Linked DNA regions of Drosophila melanogaster. The protein of the gene in region 1 purifies or fractionates together with the protein of each later gene. This does not show direct contact. Each region holds a gene or a part of one and is shown in the gene's direction. Other genes may lie near its edges. The genes, in order: gus and Cul5.

Region 1 (5,080 bases):
ATCGGAGTTGCCTACCTCATTTTATTTCCGGTCCTAAAGCAATTTATTAAAATGCGAAGATTTTCGCTTCTATGAATCTATTAGCGGTGGTCAGGTTTTTCAAGCTCTACATTAATGAATTTAGTGACCAGAAACATTGCAGAACTCACAGGTCGCAGGGCTGAGGCTTGAGGCAAGAAGGACAGACCTACACAAATCAGATGTTCTGCTACTTTGCACCTGGTTGACTGACGCATAGCTTGTTACGGCTGCGTCCTGCAACACTGCTCCAGAAACGATGCCATGTTGGAATTGAATTCTTTAAGACTGGTTCTCCAAATGCTGCTCCCATTTCGCCAGACTTTCCGGATCCAGCTTTTGGATAAGTACTTGGGCGATAATTCATCCAACGATTTGTGTCGTTGAGCCCATTCCATTTAGCGCGCGAATATGAGCGTTGAATTTATCACACAGTTTACAAAGCATTGAAACGGAACCATTCTGAACTGCCCTTGCCCTAGAATCTCAGTAATGTGTGCCTGGAATATTAAACAAACAGACAAATTCAATGCTATAGCATAGTTGCCATCCGATATTTCAAGTGCAGTGTCCCTCAGACATGTTCTTAGATGCTGCAACTTTTCTATGTTTGTTAGTTCAGGATGGCTATCTATTATCGTAGTAAACATAGAATAGAAGTCCAGCCAGATAGCTCGCCCAAGAGGGGGCAGCGACGTCCTATGCCGGAGTGCTACTTAATTGAAGTGTTAAAGCTTTAAACAGCTTTGCGAGCTTGTTGCAAATTATTGTTTATTAGCTGTTTTTGAGCAATGAAAAGACGAGTTTTGTGTAGCGATTTTGAACGATATGTTTAATAATAGCCGACATGTAAAAAAGATTTTGTCAAAACTTATACATGAGAAATGTTGTGTAAATTTTTGAGAAATTAATTGAAAAATGGTAACATTAAGGACAGTTGTTGAAATTAGGTACAATATTACCATTTGTAAGCGTATGTAAAACGAGCGGTAGAATAACAGTATATTATCGTATCATACGTTGAACGAACTGAGAGGCAGTTCAGTCGCGTAAAGTCAAAGCCAAGAATGTAGAAGGAAGCACATTGCCGCGCGGAGTCGCAATAAACAATCGGATGTCATCAAAAAAAGTGCAACCTGCAAAAACAATATATGGCAGTTAAGCATCTAATTATTCTTTATTATTCTTTGAACGAGCCGTATTCGGTAAGGAGAACCCGGTTTTCAATTAATAACGCCGAGTAAAATAAACTGTTTTAGTTATTTTATATTTATATTTTTTTATTTACCCGTTATTCAGCTAATGCCAGCTTTTGGCATAAATATTAATAAAATGAAAAATTGTTTGGCAGTTTAGGCGTAATGCGACAGTAGGTAAAATGTGCCTGTCATACCGTAAAAACAAGCGAGACAGATAATTGTTTTTATGAATTATTACAGTTTTTTGGTTTGGGTAAACCAAAAATTTGCAATTGTAAACTTATCAAGTTACTTTTACGCATGGGGTCAATCAGATACCTTTAATTTAAAAAATTGTAATATGGTGATAAAATGAATAACTTCATTTAAAAAGATTTTAAAATTTGTTTAATTTACATTATGTTGTGCTAAATCTTGAAACGGCTTGACTTAGAAAGTCTTTACCAAACTTCGGTCTTTGAAGTTAAATTAAATTATATAATTTCGAAGAAATTATTAGTCTTTTCCAAAATCCCACTCATTCCGCACATGACAAAAATCGTTACATGTCACAACACTGTTGATGTACGGTATAAGTGGATATACAAACAAATGAATGTTTTGTGCATCAAAGGTTCCTGAGTGATATTTTGCTTTATGTGTTGTTTTATTTTAATCATAGCAAATCGACAAGATAAAAGTAATGTAAGTTTCACAGGAACTGATAAATGAAATTCACACATATCTAACGTGGGAATTGATCAATTAATTATAAATATGGAATGTAAGAACATATGTATGTTCATATTTATAAACGTTAATCAGATAAAAATTTGAGATATGTGATAAAAATAATTATATGTGAAAACTTATCTGTACATATTGAACTTCATGTATTCAATCTCCTTGGATTGAATTTGTATGAGCGTACAAAAACACTATAAGAATATTAATTAGGAGTGAATCTGATATCACCAAAAATACATACATACGTAATTGCATACAATCTTAAAGATTTGTTGGAGAATATATTATAGGGAAGGAAGCGTTTCCCTAATGCATAAAGTATTTAAGCATATGTATATAAATAACTATATTATTGATCAGGATTACTAGACAAGTCGATCTGGCCATGGGCTTGCTTCAGTTATATGATTTTCGAATTTTTTTTTTATGAATAGTTCGTCGGTGCTGTAGCAACTTTTCATTTATTTTCTATTAACTTTAACAGTAAAGTTGAATCAATACGAAATTTTGGTTAGTATAAAAATTACATTTAAACCAAGACTGCATCACTACTTTTCTTTTAAAAGGTAATATGCAGGCTTAACTCAATGAAGGCGGCGCAAGCCGCTTTTACACTAGCATATTGTTAATTCACACAATGTAAAGTTTACTTTAACTTACTTCACTACATCCTTTAGTCATTCAGACTATACGCTATTTGTTATACTCGTTATACCCGTAGAGTAACAGGGTTCCTAGATCCGTTGAAAACTATGTAGCAGGAGGAAGGAAGCGTTTCCGACTATATAAAGTATATACAAACATATGTAAATACATATATTCTTGATCGAGACAATCTGACCATGTCCGTCTGTCCATATCAGCATCAAGATCAGCCAAAATGTTGAGATTCAGCATACAGATTCTAAAAACATAGACGCAGCGCAAGTTTGTGACCCATGTTGCCACGCAAACTCTAACGCCCACACACCACACAAAACTGTCAAGCCCACACTTTTAAAAAATGTGTTGATATTTTTTCACATTTTTTTTAGTCTTGTAAATTTCTATCGATTTACAAAAAAAAAATTTCTAACGCCCTTAAACCGCCAAAAACTGCCACGCCCACATTTTTGAACAAATTTCTGGATATTTTTCAATAATTTAATTAGTCTTGTAAATTTGTATCGATATGCCAAAAAACTTTTTGCCACGCCTAATCTAACGCCCTAAAACTTCCCCAAACTGTCACGCCCACACTTTAAAAAAATGTTTAGATTTTTTTTCATTTTTGTTTGTCTTGCCAATTTTTTATCGGTATACCAAAAACACCGTAACCACGCCTCCCCTTTTACCAACAAAACGGTCACGCCCACACTTTTAAACCATTTTTAAATCCTTTTTATTTTATCTTTATCTATCGATATCCCAAAAAATGTATGCAATTTTACGTTCGACTACAGCATTCTGTTTTGTTTTTCTCTCGATTTTTTGGTGCTGGCTCTAGAGATGGCTCCAGGCTCTCTCGAATGTTTGTTTAAGAGCCAGAGTGCGGAAAGATATACAGCCAGCTGCCCTCTTCGGCTGTCACTGTATGCGTAAGAATAAAGGAGACAATGATTGTTGGGTGCTTATGTTCGCACTTCGTGTCTCAAGAAATCATTTTTGCAATAAACAGTCAACGTATTTTTATATATTGTATATACAGTTTGTCAAGAAACTGTTTACACACTGTGAAATAAGTTGAATTTTTGACCTTAAAGGTAAAAATGTTCAAACGCTATTTTTTTATGAAATATATTTTTGTTTTACTTATAAATCAAAAAACAAATTATAAATATTAAATATAAAGAAAAGAATTTTGAGACTGTCAAGAAACTCTACGTTTTCTTTATGTGTTTAATGTATGTATGTATGTTTTTATTATTATTTAGAAATTTATTTTTTGAAATGTAATTTTTTTTTTAAATATTTCACATTGCAACTTTAAAAATTGATGTCGCAAAAGATGTCGTCAGTCCCGTTTTACATATTATTAATTATAAACACAAATTAAGATATGAAACATTTATATGAAACACTTTAAAAATCTAATAGTCAAGGCATACATGTTTAAATATTATTTGAGTAGATCATTTTGCAACGAAATTGCCCGAAACTCTAAATATGTTATATCGGATCTTAGATCAAAATTGATTTCTGCCCGAAAATCGTCTTCTAGCACAAGTACGCACACATACAAACATTCTCCAAAGACGCTAGTTATTCTAGTGTCTTTGCTTTCTCGTTTATTCTTTTAGCACACACAAGCAAGTGTATTATTTTTTTCGATTTTATACCGCTCTCAATTTTACTCAAGCGGAGAGAGAGCAATTTTGACCGTCAACAAAAAAGTGGCTGCATAGTGCAAAACCAATGAATGGCCGTTACGCATCTTGTAATTCTATTGTCTTTGCTTTAACTCGGTCTGTGAAATCAAAACAATAAGGAATTCAATAAGACAACTAGCTGTACAAGCTTTAGGAATGATACGAATAAAAGTGGTTGGCACGCTTTAAATAGCTTTTATGTCGAAATTTTTTTTTTTCGATTTTCCTTTTACTTGAAATCGATCGATACGCTAACTAAGTTTTGAAATATCTTCTTGCCTCGCATCTAAATATCGGATTCCTGGTTGTCTTGATAATCTGTGATTGTTCTGATTATTATATGATTAATATAATACTATATATATATATATATATATATATATACAGTATTGCTAGTATGTTTTCACATTAGTAAAAAAATATATCTTCATAATGTACTACCATAAGTAATAAATATTCAAATTTGCTTATATTCGATTCTTAAGTTTGAAAGCATTGGAAAAACAGTTTATATAAAACACGAAAAGAGACAGAAAAGAATCGCGTGGCGTTTTTGTTTCGCATGCTATATTAAGTCGTAAAGATCGATAAAGTTTTCTTGTGTATTATAAATTTTGTGGCTGTTTTCAAATTATGGTTTGTATTTTGCAAGTAAGTAACAATATATTAATTAAATCAATACATATTTCGTGAAAAATATTTCGATTTTTCTTCGTTATTTTTTCTTTGTCTTGCCATTTTTTATCAGTATACCAATATACTGCGGCCACGCACCCCCTTTCACTTACA
Region 2 (6,105 bases), on another chromosome or scaffold:
AGATTTGTGCTGCTCTTCTGTTGTGTGGTGTTTTTTTCAGGGGGGTTTTATAGACAATAACGTCGGCGAATGCAAATTATGCCAATTTTGATTGATTCATTGGGTAATTTGTTGCTGCTGGTTGTTGGTTCCTTTTGGCTATTGCTTTTGCTTATTTCCTTTTGCCGCGCTGCTTCTTACTCAATTCTATACACTCAACACACACACACGCGGACATCTTTCGAATTTCATTTCACACGCGACTGTTGACTTTCTTTTTGCCCCTCTCTCACTCTAACGCGCTCTTTCTTTTTCTCACTCTCTGAGAACTCGACAGATGTTGTTGTTGTGGGGCCTTTTTTTGATTTGAGGTGTTGCTGCTTCTGCTTCTATTGCAATTTGTGACGTGCTGTTGTGATTTGTTTGTTGCTGGCTTGTGGTTTGAAAAACGCTTTTTCGACAACACACATATGGGGAGCACGCACACACTCACTCGCCAGCAGCCAGCACACACACACAAACACACACGCACGCACACATTCACTCTCGCGCGTCACGTCAATGAACGCAGCAGCACGTAGTTGTTGTTTTCGTCACTGATTCTCGCCTTGTACGCACATTTTGCTGGCTAATCGAAGCACTTGATCGGCAACTGCTCATCAGAGCCTTGTTTATTTACATTGCAGCACGGGGCTAGTGCACTTTCCCCGATTTTATGCGTTTTTCTCTCGATTCGCACGGCCGTACAACGAGCGCCGCCGCCGCAAACAAAGGGAAATGGTGAATGCTAGAGCTGGAAGAGAAGCCGATGGTTAGTCGATACTATCGATGTATACAGATAACTGGCAGCATCGATGTTTGCCCCGCAACCATCGATTGTATTCACTCTAAAAAATATGGTTTTCTACAAGAATTCAATGTTTATAAATAAAACAGTCACTTTAATAAAAGCTTAGAAAACTCTTTGTGATTTATAAAGATTTAAGCGCGTTGTTTACGATAAGTTATAAAAACTAGGGTTGACACCTGTCTGTGAAAGACTTTTTGAATGTAAATAAACATCAAGACGGCAATAACGTAACGAAATTAAATTGATAAATAACTTTATTTTACTAGTTTAACAAATAAGAATATAAAGAAAACCATACAAGTTTCCGCACTAAAAACAAAATATATTATTTTTAGAACACGAAATAGTAAGCGATATTTTGAAATGCGGAACTGAGTATTTCAGGCACATCTGACAGCCCTGAAACAATGCAGACCAGACATTAGGTCGGGGACGTGTGCTAGACCGAGATGTCTGCTAGTACTGCTTTTGTCTCACTCGCGCACGAAGAGGTAGAGAAGAAAAAAACCAAAACGAAGTGGGCAAACTAGCGAACTTCACAAAACCCTCGACAAGACAACTTTGTATTATTGCCCTATTTCTCCTTGGTTATTATTACCGCGGCTGGGCGAGGTATCCCTTAATGTTCGATTAATAACATTTCCGCAGATTTCCCGCACTTTTGCTGCACTCCGAACTGTTGTTTTATCGACTGCCCGAAATCGATTGGTCGATGGGCGATAAGCCCTACGGGCGAAATTTTACCAACACTGGTCGATAGCCAACTATCGTATCGTATCGCCTAATTACAAAAAATAAATATAAATGAAGTGAAGCGGACGCAGCAACAAAAACAAAGAGATTGCTACGATCAAAATGCTACGGGTAAGTGACCTGATCGGCGATGAAAACGCATATAGAGTTCAGTGTGCACATATACCTTTATCTCCCTGTACGACAGGCAATCGGGAAACGGGACAGGGACATCTTCGAGGAAGTTTGGCCGGACAAAAGGCGAATAGTTTTAAAGCTACTGCGCCAGGACACGGTGTCGCAGCGCGAATGGCAGGACCTATTCTTCGGCGTACACTTCGTGTGCCTGTGGGACGAGAAGGGCGCGGCCAAGATCTACGACTGCCTGCAGCAGGACATCGTTGAGTTTATCGTCCAGGCCCAAAGCCAGGTGCAAGCGCAACGGGGCGAGCAGGCCCTTCTGGCCACCTATATTGTGGAGTGGCGGAAGTTCTTTACACAGTCCAACTACCTGCCGCTGCCTTTCCGCCAGCTGGAGCAGTCGCCCCAGGTGAAGCCCTCCTCCAGTGGCAGCAGCTCCTCCGCATCCGTCTCCGCCTCGGGAGCGAGTACGAGTGCCGCCGCGGCGGCAGCAGCTACTTCCTGCAGCGGCCAGGCTGGAAAGTCAGGAGCCTCCACCTCAGCCGCAGCTGGAGCCTCCACTTCAGCCGCCGCTGCTGCAGCCTCCACATCCGCCTCCACAAGCTCAGCAGCGGCAGCTGCAGCTGCTTCCGGAAGTGGGAGCTCCAGCAGCAGCACCTCTACCTCCAAGAAAAACCCCACGGAGGACAGTCCTGTACGAAAACTAATGCTGGACTCCTGGAACAAGCACATATTCCACGACATCAAGCATCGTCTGCAGGAGTCGGCCATGAAGATTGTGCACGCCGAGCGGAACGGCGATGCCTATGATGCCCAGCTAGTGGTAGGCGTGCGCGAGAGCTATGTGAATCTCTCCTCGAATGCAGAGGACAAACTAGAGATCTACAGGGAGAACTTTGAGATGGCGTACCTTAAGGCCACTGTCGAGTTCTATCGCCTGAAATCCGCCGAACAACAGCAAGAGAACGGAGTGCTGGCCTATATGAAATACGCCGACTCAAAGTTGCGTGAGGAGGAGGTTAGGGCCAAGCGGTATCTGGAGCCCAGCAGCTTCAGTATACTTACTTACACGCTGGTTAATGTGCTCATAGTGGACCACCTCAACTCAATCATCGCCGAGTGTCCGGCTTTGATCAGGGACTATGAAACGGAGCGATTGAATCTCATGTTCCGCCTGATGGATAGAGTGATGCACGGCGTTGGCGTGGAGCCCATGATGGGTGACCTGCAGCGTCACATCATGTCCGCCGGACTGGCCGACATGCTGTCCGCTTCGGAGGTGATTACCCAGGATTCGGAAAAGTACGTTGAGCGGCTACTTGAGCTGTTCAACAAGTTCAGCGACCTGGTACGCAACGCCTTCAACGACGATCCCCGCTTCCTCACTGCCCGCGACATTGCTTTTAAGACGGTAGTCAACGACACCAGCGTGTTCAAGATGGAGCTACCCACGAGTATCGCCAATCGGGGTGTAAAGTACACAGCGCCGGAGAGCAAATGCCCGGAACTACTGGCCAACTATTGCGACATGCTGCTGCGGCGAACGCCGCTCAGCAAACGCCTCACCAGCGAACAGATCGACGCCCGTCTGCGCGATGTCCTCTTGGTCCTGAAGTACGTCAACAACAAGGACGTCTTTATGCGCTATCACAAAGTTCATTTGACGAGGCGGTAAGTTGACTGCATAATGTTTCAAATGAAGCGATTACATACTCTTGTTCCTCCAATTACAGCTTGATTCTGGGGACCAGTGCGGACAGCGAAAAGGAGGAGGACATAGTCGAGTGGCTGAGGGAGGTGGGCATGCCGGCGGACTACGTGAATCGGCTGGCGCGCATGTTCCAAGACATAAAGGTAGGTTTTACCAGACTGATGTTAGGAGCAGGTTTATTCATTATCCCCTTTCGTATATAGGTCAGCGAAGACTTAAATACTCAATTCCGCACCTCGATAAGTCGGCACGATGCTATCAACATAAAAATACTCAACGCGGGTGCCTGGGCCCGCTGTTCGGAGCGAGTCTCGGTCTCACTGCCCATCGAGCTCGAGGACTATATTCCTGATGTGGAGGAGTTTTACAAGAAGAAGCATTCCGGCCGTAAGCTGCAGTGGTACCATCACATGAGCAATGGCACTATCACCTTTGTGAATAACTTCGGGCGCTACGATCTGGATGTGACCACTTTCCAGATGGCCGTCTTGTTTGCCTGGAATCAGCGTCAGCATGACAAAATTTCCTACGAGAATCTCCGCCTGGCCACAGAACTACCAGGTTAGGATTGCTTGCAAATTTACTTTTCGCTTTGATGATAATTATTTGTGTATTTTTAAGATCCCGAACTGAGGCGAACGTTGTGGTCGCTGGTAGCGTTCCCTAAGATAAAGAAACAGATCCTGCTCATGGAACCGGCGGCGATCAGTTCGCCCAAGGACTTTGCCGAGAACACAATGTTCTATATTAATCAGGAATTTGCTATTGTCAAGAATGGCAAATCCCAGCGTCGTGGAAAGGTGATTACGCATATTAGCTATCTAATAGATAATCCATAACCAGAGTTCTCACCCGCAGCTGAATCTCATCGGGCGACTGCAATTGAGCACGGAGCGCTCGCAGCAGGAGGACAATCAATCCATTGTGCAACTGCGTATTCTGCGCACACAAGAGGCCATTATCAAAATCATGAAAGTGCGCAAGCGGATGAACAACGCAGCGCTGCAGGTTCGTTGTTCGATAGCTAGTTGTGCGTTTCAAGGGATCTAAAAAAAAAACATTCTTCTACAGGGTGAACTCATCGACATATTGAAGAACATGTTCCTGCCGTCCAAGAAGATGATCAAGGAGCAGCTGGAGTGGCTGATTGAGAACAAGTATATGAGACGGGACGACGATGATATCAACATGTTCATTTACGTGGCCTAAGCAGCTGCTCCTGATCCCGGCTCTAGTCTCAGTCCCGTCTATGCAGTCATTCCCATTTCCATTCCCTCACACGCTACTCAAAAACTATTGCGATTTTAATCTCAACGCCGACGTGCTCAAAGCACGCGCCCTTTTTCTGTCTACGGAATTGGATAATTGTATTATATGGAAACGTGATTCGCTACTGACATTGCGCCCTCAGAGCATTTAAAAGACCCACACTCCAATCGGCAGCCATTTTCTCGTGTCCACGTCCTGTATTTGTGAAACTTTGTATTTTTATATTGGCCCACTGGCTGCTCTGCGTAGCTCTAGATATTATGTTTTGTGCGCTACATGCACCCTGGAAATTCCGAACCCACGCCCACGCCCTGCCCCCGAGTATATCGATCGATAGCGTTAATCTAATCAACCTGCTGTTTTCTATGTGTGTAGTTATCCCTTGTTTGTTTCCGTTGCCTGGTCTTCTGTTGATTCTTGGGTATTTTGCAATGTTCCACGTGAGACTCACACACCTCCTGAAGATTGATGGGGAAGCCAATTCTTCGTCTCCGCTCGCTCCCAGCATGGAATGCCTAATCACACACAAACACTCACACGGGATCGCAAAACTATAACTAAAATAGCAATACTTTATGTTTAAGTTAATGAATAAATTTGGTTCTACACATAATGAAAGCGAATCTATTGCAGTTTTATTTTTAACTGGTTACTGCAACTGAAGGGCGAATAAAAATCGAATGCATTTCATTATACCATAATGCTTATTTTCTTTATTTAACTTACGTGTGTAGAGGGGCGGATGTTAGGTTAGCGTTCTAAAAGTAAAAACCTATATTAATAATTAAAAACAAGGTCAAATGATTTCTGCAGCAAGTGCACCAAAATACCAGGACAAGAGTTACACAATTGTGACATACAATCAAACCCATTAAAATTAAACTAAATATCGAAAATAGACAAAAACGGGCTGACCTATTAATATAATCAAAGACTGACAAATAGAGCATTTTAAAAAACACGTCTAAATAAAAGGAACCCTATTCTATTCTAGCTGCCACTATCATCTATGACTTATAAACCTATAGCTAAAATACTATTGAAGCGAGCATATGTCTCGGTGAGGGCAGGTCGATCTTTTCCGTAGAAAAGAAACAGCTAGCTCCTTCATATCAAGTATAAGATCAAACGTTTCCAAAAAGCCATTGACTCAAGGGTAATCATTTCACCTTCTTATCTTAGGGAGGAATCACGGCCGTACATAAATGGGAATCTACCGTCTCTTCCGACCTTTCTTATAGCCCTTGCCATACCATCCTGCCTGGGTTCGCGCCAACTTCCGTGGAAAACTCGTGCTCAGCTGCTGTCTTCGCTTTGCCGTTTCCGCCGCTGCTATGTGTGCCAAGGATATATTCTCATCGTAGTCATCGTCGTCGTCGGAAGTTGGACAGCACTCGCAGACCACGAACCGACCGCTTCTGGC

The links.
Region 2: the proteins of gus (region 1) and Cul5 purify together in Drosophila melanogaster (affinity purification with western blotting, with the first as the bait; one study listed by BioGRID). This does not show direct contact.

What each region holds. Positions count from the first base shown.
Region 1 is NT_033778.4:5,125,047-5,130,126, reverse strand, and holds the start of gus (gustavus), read left to right. Parts: upstream 1-1,805; 5' UTR 1,806-1,901; intron 1,902-2,603; exon of another isoform or gene 2,604-2,724; intron 2,725-2,784; exon of another isoform or gene 2,785-2,878; intron 2,879-5,080. UniProt on the Drosophila melanogaster protein: Involved in the localization of vas to the posterior pole of the oocyte. Required maternally in the germ line for efficient primordial germ cell formation.
Region 2 is NT_033777.3:29,058,470-29,064,574, reverse strand, and holds Cul5 (cullin 5), read left to right. Parts: upstream 1-1,599; 5' UTR 1,600-1,684; coding exon 1,685-1,693; intron 1,694-1,769; coding exon 1,770-3,373; intron 3,374-3,435; coding exon 3,436-3,556; intron 3,557-3,616; coding exon 3,617-3,974; intron 3,975-4,034; coding exon 4,035-4,213; intron 4,214-4,271; coding exon 4,272-4,421; intron 4,422-4,484; coding exon 4,485-4,622; 3' UTR 4,623-5,303; downstream 5,304-6,105. Other genes in the region: Sirt7 (sirtuin 7), read right to left, coding at 5,896-6,105.